Nothobranchius furzeri: one gene and its partners. The protein of the gene in region 1 interacts with the protein of each later gene in a pairwise test. Links are inferred from orthologs where the notes say so. Each region holds a gene or a part of one and is shown on either strand. Other genes may lie near its edges. The genes, in order: bend7, eaf1 and mfap1.

The links.
Region 2: the proteins of bend7 (region 1) and eaf1 interact in binary tests that used the Homo sapiens proteins (3 or more experiments, as listed by UniProt). The two-hybrid records come from large-scale screens. The link is inferred for Nothobranchius furzeri from reciprocal best matches to the Homo sapiens genes BEND7 and EAF1.
Region 3: the proteins of bend7 (region 1) and mfap1 interact in binary tests that used the Homo sapiens proteins (3 or more experiments, as listed by UniProt). The two-hybrid records come from large-scale screens. The link is inferred for Nothobranchius furzeri from reciprocal best matches to the Homo sapiens genes BEND7 and MFAP1.

The regions. Positions count from the first base shown.
Region 1 is NC_091744.1:72,601,156-72,604,909, reverse strand, and holds the start of bend7 (BEN domain-containing protein 7), read left to right. Parts: upstream 1-1,382; 5' UTR 1,383-2,140; coding exon 2,141-2,204; intron 2,205-2,678; coding exon 2,679-2,747; intron 2,748-2,821; coding exon 2,822-3,163; intron 3,164-3,313; coding exon 3,314-3,433; intron 3,434-3,515; coding exon 3,516-3,754. Other genes in the region: prpf18 (pre-mRNA-splicing factor 18), read right to left, coding at 285-362, 882-947.
Region 2 is NC_091745.1:66,979,469-66,983,222, reverse strand, and holds the start of eaf1 (ELL-associated factor 1), read left to right. Parts: upstream 1-971; 5' UTR 972-1,160; coding exon 1,161-1,263; intron 1,264-2,659; coding exon 2,660-2,754; intron 2,755-3,047; coding exon 3,048-3,184; intron 3,185-3,291; coding exon 3,292-3,464; intron 3,465-3,596; coding exon 3,597-3,754. Other genes in the region: tRNA N(3)-methylcytidine methyltransferase METTL6, read right to left, coding at 19-315. UniProt on the Homo sapiens protein: Acts as a transcriptional transactivator of ELL and ELL2 elongation activities.
Region 3 is NC_091749.1:30,004,650-30,008,337, forward strand, and holds the start of mfap1 (microfibrillar-associated protein 1), read left to right. Parts: upstream 1-827; 5' UTR 828-942; coding exon 943-1,024; intron 1,025-1,645; coding exon 1,646-1,862; intron 1,863-1,941; coding exon 1,942-2,092; intron 2,093-2,184; coding exon 2,185-2,372; intron 2,373-2,452; coding exon 2,453-2,722; intron 2,723-2,811; coding exon 2,812-2,971; intron 2,972-3,268; coding exon 3,269-3,358; intron 3,359-3,688. Other genes in the region: hddc3 (guanosine-3',5'-bis(diphosphate) 3'-pyrophosphohydrolase MESH1), read left to right, coding at 1-88. UniProt on the Homo sapiens protein: Involved in pre-mRNA splicing as a component of the spliceosome.

The DNA of each region.
Region 1 (3,754 bases):
GCAGCAGAGGCAGGTCGCAGAAAAACAGCACAGTAAACACAGATACTGATTTAGACCTGCACATTAAGTCCTAGCCTTTTGTTTTTAAGCAAACTGTTCATGTACTGTGTAACAAACTCCACCAAGTTTCATTCAATTGTTGTGCTGAAAGGGATCTTTAACAACTAGTCTTAGGAAAATTCCTAAATTGACAATGACCTAAAGAAAAAAATAATAGGAATACAGTTATTTAGATGTAATGGAGCGTGTTCGAGAAAGTAATGCAAACTGATCTTGACATTAACCTTTAATCCACAGCGTTTGAAGTACTCTTCTTTTTCCTTGCGAGCCAGATCAGCTCTTTTGAAGAATTTTTTGGAGTCCTGTTGAGAAAAAGTTGATTGATATGTTTAATCCTATTGAAAATTCAACCTGTAGGGCAGTTAAAGGAACATAATAACACAGGAACTCCCCAACAAGAAGCTACATGCTAACGTTTGCTCTCTTTCTTATCCAAGAAACAATGTGCAATAACCCACCCGATTTAAAAAAAATCACAATTGACAGAGAACAAGCTAAATAATTCGTTTAGTTTAGAAACACAACACACAATTAATTTGAAATTCAAAGCAACAAGGTAGTAAGACGCGTTACACAAAAATGACTGAAGCACGTTTCAAGATCCGCTTTTTACGTTCAACGTAAAGATCTTACTGACACATTTAAATTTATACATGTAACGTTATTTTCCACGTGTGCAGAGTTCATAAGAGCACCGACGAGAGTAAGAAAAGCAATAATCATGGAAAGTGTTGACTTCAAACTTCCAGCTAACTCAACGCTAGCTAACAAAGCTAAATGTTAGGCTAACAAAAGCAGATTAAAAACCACAAAATACTCACATCAATGAGCTCTTTTTCCTCTAGAAGTTTTCTCTTTCTTGCTATTTCAGCTTTAAGTATATCCATTTCAGAAGAATATTATGAAAATGTCTTCTTTTGCGGATAGCTGAAGAGTGTTGACATCAAATGTAGAAAAAGGTTGACGTCCAGGGCTTAAAAACGGAAACAAAAAATTCAACATAAGAGCCTTAAAAAGTTCATTTCCTTTTTTCAAAATAAAAGACTAACTCCCAAATGCGACACTTCTGGAATGAACAGTTTTATTCTAGAATGAACCTGGTATGAACCTATATGGCTATGTTAAGAAGATTTCATTTACACTAAAAACTTTAAAATTTGAAAAGTATAAAGCTACACTAGTTGTATCAGATTTTCTCAAATTTATAAATTATATATAAACCTATTTGAATTTTCTTAAGATAACACAGTAAAATTAAATGAAAATGTACAGCTGCATCTATTTATATTATTTATGTATAGATGCAGTTGTACATTGTGTGTGTGTGTGTGTGTTTCTGAAAAAAATTGAAACGCTTAAAAATAACAAAAGGAGACGAAATTACATAAAAGCCTCCAAAAGTGTTTCAAATTAGACACATCTCAAAGAAAGACAACAGTAGTGGCATGAAAAAAGACTTAATTGGAGAACATTTAGAGGAAAAATGGTTGGAAAGTAAATGTAAATATCTAGGTATTCCAAACTTTGACAGACAACACTGGATTCCTGTAATACTCAATAGAGTTTGACCTTTTTATGCCACATTAGATATTTTCTGTCACATCATGTTTATGCTGTTAAACAAGTAAATTCTGTTGTGAGCAGCGTTTTAGATCCAGTTTAATTCAAAAAGCCTTTTAAAAAGTTCTGTAGCTCCTTCAACCTGACTGCTTTTGCTTAGATTTCAGTTTGTTGTCCAGTGGCAAAAGCCTTGTGCTCGACCTTTTAAAGGATACCATCAGGTGGCGCAAAGGGATATGTGACGAATTCTTAATAATAAAGTCATTAATGTATTTACATGGCGAAAGGGAAGGACCGCCGTCATGCTGGGAGAGGGGATGCATGTCCACAATTTTTTATTCCTGGAGAATTTTACACCCAAACGTTGGGAAATCTTCCGATGACAAGAATAGGCGAATTTTCTAACTGATTAATGAAGCAGACGGACAGTGATTGTGCTGAGTGAAAAAATAAAAAAAAATACAGATTTTGTCTTGGAGCGAAATCCGACGGCACGACTTGCTGGATATTCCCGTTGAGGATGGAGTTTGGAGAACGGAAGCGGAGAAGGAAATCCCAGAGCTTTAAACTGGTCACGGATGAAGGTAATGCTGCTGAATGAAAGCGAGACCTTAACAAGACGCGCTCATGTGTCTGGGTGTTTGTCTGGCGCCGTGTGCCAGCAGCAGAGACAAAAGCGATGGCCACGACAATACCCAGTCTGTGCATCGATTTTCTATAAATAAATCCCCAAGAGCCAACCTTTCAAACAAGAAAACGAAACAGAAATTCTCCTCACATGGTCCAGGCGTTTAAATTTTTCAAAAAGAAGAATAATTAATCAAAAACGTACACATCTGTTGCGCATTTATGTCATGCGACTCGAAGCTTTTTATATATTATTTTTTGCTACTAAATACCTTTCTCTAAACTACTTCATACCTACAGGTGGTGGTTTGTGCATGGATGGGAGGGGGGCTGGTTTACATCAGAGCACACCAGTCTGCAGACACTTTGCATCACAAGTTTTGCTGCAATTTTTTCTTATTTTGTTATTAAAAAAACAATTTTATGTGCAGATTGTGACCCTTCATATGTTGCAAGTTGCAAGAATGGCAACGAGGGAGCTAATGATGCAGCTGTACCTGGTGGTATTCTGATTATTTTTTTATATATTGCATGACTGCAAAATGATGCTCTAACCACCTTCTGTTAAATGCAGTTTGGCTTGATGAGAGCATGGGGATCAAGAGGCAAATCACGGGTATGATGAGACTTCTGAGTGATAAGACTGGGAGGGCATATCAACAGGTTGGAAGTGAGTCAAACAGCTTGCCTCAGGAGCCCCAGGATAAAGATCTGAACAGCCTGCACCAGACACAAATTCCATCTCCTGCATCACATCGTCACCGCAGCTGGAGCTCTGAGGGGGACCCTGAGCCAGCATCTTCATCCATAGCGAGCCCCACTCTAAACGGTCAAGCCTGTGGTCATAGCACCCTGTCCAAAAGCTCCAGGAGCCTCAGCAGCTTAAAGGACTCAGTCAAACCCAGTAATACAAACGGTAGGGAATCTTTGAATCTCAGGTCATTATATTTTAAAATGTTTGCAAAAACTTCAATTTCCTCTTAAGTTTTTGGTCAACGTCAGCATGAAAGCACATTGGACATGTTAAAGCTGACAGTGACTAAACAAATCAACACTGACTTTGCAGGAGAAGTGCTCCCTCCTGCTGTGCCTGAAATCCCCTGCTGCATGTGTAACTGTAAAGACACCTTAGAGGCTATACTCCAGGAACTGAGAGCAATGAGGAGGCTGATGCAAACTCAAAAAGGTCAGAAAGGAGGAATCTTATACAAAATATATGGACAACCTAAAGGAAATCTTTTATTCTTGTGATTTTTTTTCCTCCATAGCACCATTTGAAAAGAAAGAACAGGCAGGATCACCATGCCAACCTTCCCTTGGTCCAGGTTCCTCTCCTCGGCGTACACCCCAAAAGAGAAGGCCGATCTATAAGGTGGCTCCACTCAGTGTGTACAGCACCAGAAGGGCACCCACATCTTCCTCAGTGCTTAAACCAGTTACTTCTGAGTCCATGAGGAGGGAGGATTGTGAGAAACTAGACTCATCAGCACTCAACATTGGTTTGATT
Region 2 (3,754 bases), on another chromosome or scaffold:
CACCCCTTATCCGCTCACCTCCCGACAGGCTTTAAGCTCCTCAAACTCTCTGGTGGTCCAGTGTCTGTCTTTAAAGAAATTCGTGGTGTTTCTTTTATAAAACAAGTCCCAATTTTTCTGCGCTTCTTTCTCCAGCTTAATTTGTTTGAAATCAGATACCAGCGTCCGCTCACTGCTCAGTCTGTCCCGTTCCTCTGGAGTTAAATCTCTGACAGAGCAAAGTTTTGTTTCTCGTCCCCGTGACTCCACCTTTGTTTCGGGTTCCACTTCTTCAATGTCTTCAACTTTGCACTTTTCATTTGTCATTAACGCCATTGTTGTGTTAGATTGCCGTTCTCTCTGATAGTTTGTTTATAAAATAAAGCTTTATATAAGCTTCAATAGGAAGAAAAAGGAGGTAATATTTTTCCACACTTGGCATCCATCTTGTGCAGCATCGATGACACCGGTACCGGTTGGTGTTATTAAAAAAAATACCACGGTGGTCAACGCTTTAAAACACAAAATTTATACAAAATATAATATAAATTTTGACTGTACAATTTTATTGTTTAAATAAGTTACAAATATTTTTAACAGCTCTGAAATCACTTACACCCAGTCTGGTTTTCCGTCGGTGGTATTTGATGCTCGGACCAAAGGCAGTGTTACGCCGAGATATGTTTCCTCACAACAACAGTTTCTCCTCCTATTTTAAGCGAGTTTCCCCTTTAACTTTGTTGTTTAAACCAATTATCTGATAATAAAATAACTAAACTGAAAACTTTTGATAGTTTAATTAAAACATTAGTCATCACAGCATGGCAAAAACGTACGGAAAATATTACTTTTTAAAATTATTTAATCTGTGTTCGGTAAAAATAAATTCATACTTAAGTCAAATACTAATAACTGAATAATTGTTCAATGAGGTAAACATATTTATTTTCCAAGAATTCAGAACGGAAAACCCGCACACTGATATACGAGTAAACCGTTTTTCACTTAACACCGAAAAAGCTGCAGTCGCGTGACGTAAGTGTTGTTTTGCTAAAGGTTAGCATCTGCAAGCTAACTTTATCTTTATTTAGATTATCATCTCCGGTAGTTGCTGGATATAGCTCTGTTTTTCGGTTGTAACACAAATGTAAAATTTAATCCGGTTTCAACCAGACGAAGTCATGAACGGAAACACAAATCCACTGCTGGACAAAGAGGAACATGTTCTGAAGCTCGGAGAGAGCTTCGAGAAAAGGCCAAAATCATCTTTTCACACCATCAGATGTGAGTGTGAAAGAGACCACTTTGTGTTTCTAAAAGCTTTTAGTAAAGTCAGCTGTTGGTTGGAAGTAATTAGCTCACAGTGATACAGCTATTACATTCATTACGGTTACAGAAGTACACAATAAATGAGAAAATTTGATTTACATGTATGAACTGCAAAACACCGAACTGAAAGAAATTGCTGAACAGAAATGTGTTTATTATGTAAAAAATAGAAAGTTAAATTGTGGGGTTTAATGTTTTTTTTTTAAGTCCTTGGTTATTATCAATTATTAACTGATCATCATTCAACTTTTACTTAATTTTGCTTTGTTTATTTAAACATTTCCTAAGCCAAGTAGACAGTGTGACCAATAATTAATAAATGCACATTTCACCCAAATACCAGCAGCACATTATTTAAATATTTCCCGGTTTGTAAATTAATGTCATATTAGCAGAGTCAAGCAAAGTTATAATTTAAAACATATAAGGGTGATTAGCTAAGTTTGAATCTCTTTCATTTTTAGAAACTAAATAATTAATAATAATAAGGGATGCACCAATATGAATTTTTTGGGCCGGTACCGAGATTAGTATCACTGTTATGGCCGATAACCAATATTGGCCAATACCGTTTTATGCATCTGAAATCAGCAGATTTTGAATAGACTGAAATTATGCAAGTTGAATTTTGGAATGTTTTGCTTTATTTCTATGAAGTTGAATTTGCATTATGTTATACACACACACACACACACACACACACACACACACACACGTACGCTTCTGGTAAATGGTAAATGGCCTGTATTTGATATAGCGCCGTCTAGAGTCCTGGAACCCCCCAAGGTGCTTTACAACACAACCAGTCATTCACCCATTCACACACACATTCACACACTGGTGGGGATGAGCTACGATGTAGCCACAGCTGCTCTGGGGCGCACTGACAGAGGCGAGGCTGCTGAGCACTGGCGCCACCGGTCCTTCCGACCACCACCAGCAGATAACATGGGTCTTGCCCAAGGACACAACGACAGCAACAGACTGAGCGGGGCTCGAACCTGCAACCTTCCGATTACAGGGCGAGCACTTAACTCCTGTGCCACCGTCGCCAGATGATTACCATCACGGTCACATGTCTCAACAATTACACATCATAACTGCCCCTTACCCTCTGAAACATACACAAACGGAAATAAGATGGAAAAAATATCAGTTCTTAAAATCGGCCCAGTTTTAATTGTCGGACTGGTATGTTAAAAATGTACTAACATCGGCCAATACTCGATATTGATGCAGATATATCATACATCTCTAATAATTATATAATTTACTTCTTTTTCTATTTATTTAAGTTTTTCTAAGCAGTGAAAGGACTTGATTCATGCCTAATTTATTTATTTATTCTTAGATGACTTCAAACCAGCATCGATCGACACGAGCTGTGAGGGAGAGCTACAAGTTGGGAAAGGAGATGAAGTTACCATAACACTACCTCATATTCCAGTAAGGTTGCAGAGACGTAAACAACAAAGCACCATTCTCACATTTGTGTCAGCTGGCTCACAGTTATGGTTATTCAACATTATTAATGTTATTAAGTGTCAATCAAGTGCTTTCCCTCTGCTAACAAAGTCAGATAGCAGCTTAGGTTGAGTAATCATAGTTGATTATGTTTAAATGTAGTTTCAGTTTCATCTAGTTACATCAGGAACCAATAAAATAAACAAGTAAAAGCCCCTTTGTATGATTTTATTAAGAAAAATCAAAGGATCAAGTAAAGTTACATACTCTTCCAGGGCTCCACGCCTCCAATGACGGTATTTAAAGGAAACAAGCGGTTGTATCAGAAGGATTGTGTGCTCATCATTAACCACGACACGGGGGAATTTGTCCTGGAGAAGCTCAGCAGCAGCATCCAGGTCAAGAAAACAAGGTGGGAGAATTGTATATTACTTTTTCACACTTGATAAATCATTCATTCTAAAGTGGGGAGCAGAAAGGAGCAACAGTTGGTGAGTCTGCCGTGTTTATTTTTTATAGGGCGGAGGGCAGCAGTAAGATCCAGGCCCGAATCGAGCAGCAGTCCGTCCGTTCCTCCCAGACAAGCTCTCAGTTCCGAGCCCCGACCAAACCAGGGGCCGGGAACAAAACCTCACCCTCCCACACGAAGGACAACCCGTCCCCAGAGCCTCAGCTGGATGACATCAAACGAGGTGAGAAGGTTCTGTCACAAGATGGAACTGGTGTGTCTCAAACTGATTCTAGCTAAAATATCAGCTGGATATTGTAACTGGTGTGAAATGAACCCAGAACCAATAATGTCTCTGACCTGCTGCCGCTGGCAGAGCTGCGGGCGGAGGTGGAGGTGATCGAGCAGATGAGCAGCAGCGGCAGCAGCTCGTCCGATTCAGCCAGCGGCTCGGGGAGCGGCGACGACAGCAGCAGTAGCGATGGTGAGCACGACGCCCCCCCGCAACCGCTCAGCCAGACCTCCCCCAGCTGC
Region 3 (3,688 bases), on another chromosome or scaffold:
AACTAACTCTGCCCTGGAGGGGAAGCTGGAGGACTTGTTCAGAGAGGCATTCAACTCTGATGGCAAAGCCACACGTCTATACTGTTAAAATGACAACTCAAATGCACCTTTATGAGTGAGCTTCAGAAAAAAAAGAAAGAAGTGTGAATGTACTGTCTGCTGCACTGTCATTTGTATTATTGTCAAATTTTTAAAGTCATGCAAACCAGAACAGAAAATTAAAAGAATAAAAACATATGACATTTCTTTTATAAGTCTGGTTCATTGTCATCAAACCTTTCAAATAATTTTCACACAGACACAAAGTTTTTTTTTTAGATAAGTGAAGAGTTGCTTATTAGAAAGTCAGTCAGATTAGCCTTTTGTTTTTAAATAAACCATGATGCCAAAGTTACAAGCCAACCTCAGTCCATCCTATTACTCTGTTAAGGGTCAGGGCGTGCACTTATTTATTGTGCTAGTAAATTGAACTTGCCTGGAGCAGAAGAAATGTAGTTTGTTAAGCTGCCTGTCATTTTTGTAAAAAAAAAACGGAATGTTTGATGTTGGTTATATTTGTTAGGGTGAAATCGGGTTTCTGATCATAATGAAAAAAAGCTTGACTTGAAGGCCTATCATGCATGAAACATAAAAACCACCAAGGGGCGGTGATTTACAATTTACAATTTAATCGATTTTAATTAGCTTGATGGTCATTTAGAAAACACGTTTATAAAAATGCATAAATGTCAGTTTTGTAAAAACAATTTAATGTGAGACGCTTTCCTGTTCATTTGATTCTTGAGTTTTTGGTTTTTCTCTTCGGAACAAATGCACTTCCTGTCCGTTCGCGGAAGTTGTTCAACTTCCGGTTTTGAAACGAAGCAGCCAAGAGATTGTTGAGACTAAGCGCAACATCCTTTTATTTCACGTCCATAGTTTTGTGTTGTTGACCGGGCAGTCATGTCTAGTCACGAAAGCGTCAACATGAAGCTCCCACCGATCCAGTCCACGGCAGGAGCCGTGCCCATCCGGAATGAGAAAGGTGAATCGTGTTAGGGTTAGCTTCCATGCTAATGTAGCATCTGTTATGTAGCGTCAAAAAACGCGAGTTAAGTTTCTAAATAACTAATTCATTACTCAGCAAAACAAGCTGAAAAGCAATTTTGTGATGTTGGTTTTTTAAGAGAGTAAAATGTGTGTGTGTGGTGGGAGTAACAGTTTAAAATCTAGAAATGGAGGAACAACTGACAGTTTACATTTTTTTAAACAAGATTCAAGATCTTTGATGATCCAACACAAATGTTTATAAACAACTGGAAAAAATATATTTTAAATAGCTTTTCAACTTTTTTACGTGTTAGATAAGTCATCTGTTAAGTCCCTTAAAAGTATTCATGGGCTTTTGTAACGTCATTTATCTGTCTACCTAATAAGAGCTTGTCTGAGACATTAACTCGTTGTTTTAAGCTTACGTCTGAGTTTTGGGGTCATTTTATTACTCCCAAGGGCGAGGGGTATGCTGTATCTGTCTGATTTAATTTAAATAAATCTGCAACATATTGTTTTACGTTTTTTATGGTTGAGTGTTTTTTCCTGTTTAAATACTCTTGTACTAAGCTTGAGGAAGTGTATATAATCATGCCCTTTTCTGTACACAATGTAGGTGAGATCTCCATGGAGAAGGTGAAGGTGAAGAGGTATGTGTCAGGTAAACGTCCAGACTATGCCCCCATGGAGTCGTCAGATGAAGAGGAGGAGGAATTCAAGTTTGCTAAAAAGGGAGTGGAAATGGAGCTGGAGGTAGAGCAGCAGGAAGAAGATGTGAATGACCCACGTCTCAAACGTTTGCTCAATCGAACTTCTGAGGACGTGGAGGAGAGGTATCACTCAGTTTTTCTGATTAAACTCAAATTCTGTCAACATTTTGAGTCAAAATGTTTCCCGTTTGTTTGTGCTCAGGCTCGCAAGACACAGACAGATCGTAGAGCCTGAAGTTGTTGCTGAGAGCAGTGAGGACTCTGATGAAGGCACATGGCACCCTGAGCATCAGGAGAGCAGCGACGATGAAGAGGAGGAGGAGGAGGAAGAGGAGGAAGAAGTGGATGATGAGGTAGCAATTGTGCACCAAAAAAATAAAATCCTTTTAACTTTTTTGTTGCATTTTGAACAAATTATTAATTTGCTCATCGTGCTTGTGACCAGGAAATTGAGAGGAGGCGAGCAATGATGCGCCAGCGTGCAATGGAGAGGAAAAATGAAGAGATGGAAGTGATGGAGGTGGAGGAGGAGGGGAAGTCAGGAGAGGAGTCTGAGTCGGAGTCAGAATATGAGGAGTACACAGACAGTGAGGATGAAGCAGAGCCGAGACTTAAGCCTGTTTTTATTCGCAAGTGAGAACTAAACTAAAAATGTTTCAATAAAAATTCCAGATTCAGAACACTAGCTCAAATGTTTTTTTTTTGCACTGCAGAAAGGACAGAGTCACTGTGGCAGAGCGCGAAGCCGAGGAGCTGAAGCAGCGAGAGCTGGAGGCCGAGGCCAAGAGGCAGGCAGAGGATCGGCGGCGCTACACCCTCAAGATTGTTGAGGAGGAGGCTAAGAAGGAGTTTGAAGAGAACCGGCGCTCGCTGGCTGCACTGGAAGCTCTGGACACTGACGGGGAGAATGAAGAGGAGGAATATGAAGCCTGGAAGGTCCGAGAGCTGAAACGCATCAAGAGAGACCGAGAGGCCCGGGAAGCGTAAGTAAACTGCAGGATTCCAAAGGATTTATGGTGAAAGAGTGATGCAGTTCTCTTCAGGACGGTCATTTGTGGTGTTTTGTTGTCAGAATGGAGAGAGAGAAGGGTGAAATTGACAGATTCCACAATATGACGGAAGAGGAACGCAGGGCGGAGCTACGCAACAGCGGCAAAGTCGTCACCAACAAAGCCTCCAAAGGCAAATACAAGTTCTTGCAGAAATACTACCACAGAGGAGCCTTCTTCATGGTGAGTCCCAGCAGACACAAGAGTCCTTTTCACGGGATTGTCACCAGGATTCATAAAAAAGCAAATTTTTAAGACAACCAAGAGATTTTCCTAAAATCTTCATTTACAGCTGCAGTGTCTTTTCTTTGACAATTATTGTGTGATAAAAACGGCGTACCCTTTCTTATAACACCTTTATTATTTAGATGTCTGTAAATGACAGGAAATCCCACCAGATTCTGAAGGAGGTGATCGTTTGTGATGGGTCACCAACAGGTTATACGTGTAGGGATTTATTGTGTGGTTTTTGTGTGTTAGGATGAGGAGGAGGATGTTTACAAGAGAGACTTCAGCGCTCCTACACTGGAGGATCACTTCAACAAAACCATCCTACCCAAAGTCATGCAGGTGAGACCCTTTCGTCTTGGGGTGCAACGAAATGAAACTTTGGGCTGATGTCGATATTGTTATGGCTGATAATCGATATTTGTCGATGCGACATATACAGGCTGACATTTATGCTTCTGAAGTCAGCAGATTTTATGGAGACTTAAAGTTATGTAAGCAGAAATTTTGGACGTCTTTCTTTTTATATATATTCAGTTAATATCGGTCCAGTTGTCCTTATCAGACCGATACCGATATGTAAAACATAGATATTGATGCCGATATGTCATGCATCCCTGCTGTTTTTTTGGACCACAGGTGGGGTTTGAAAGTTCATCTTTGGAAAAAAGA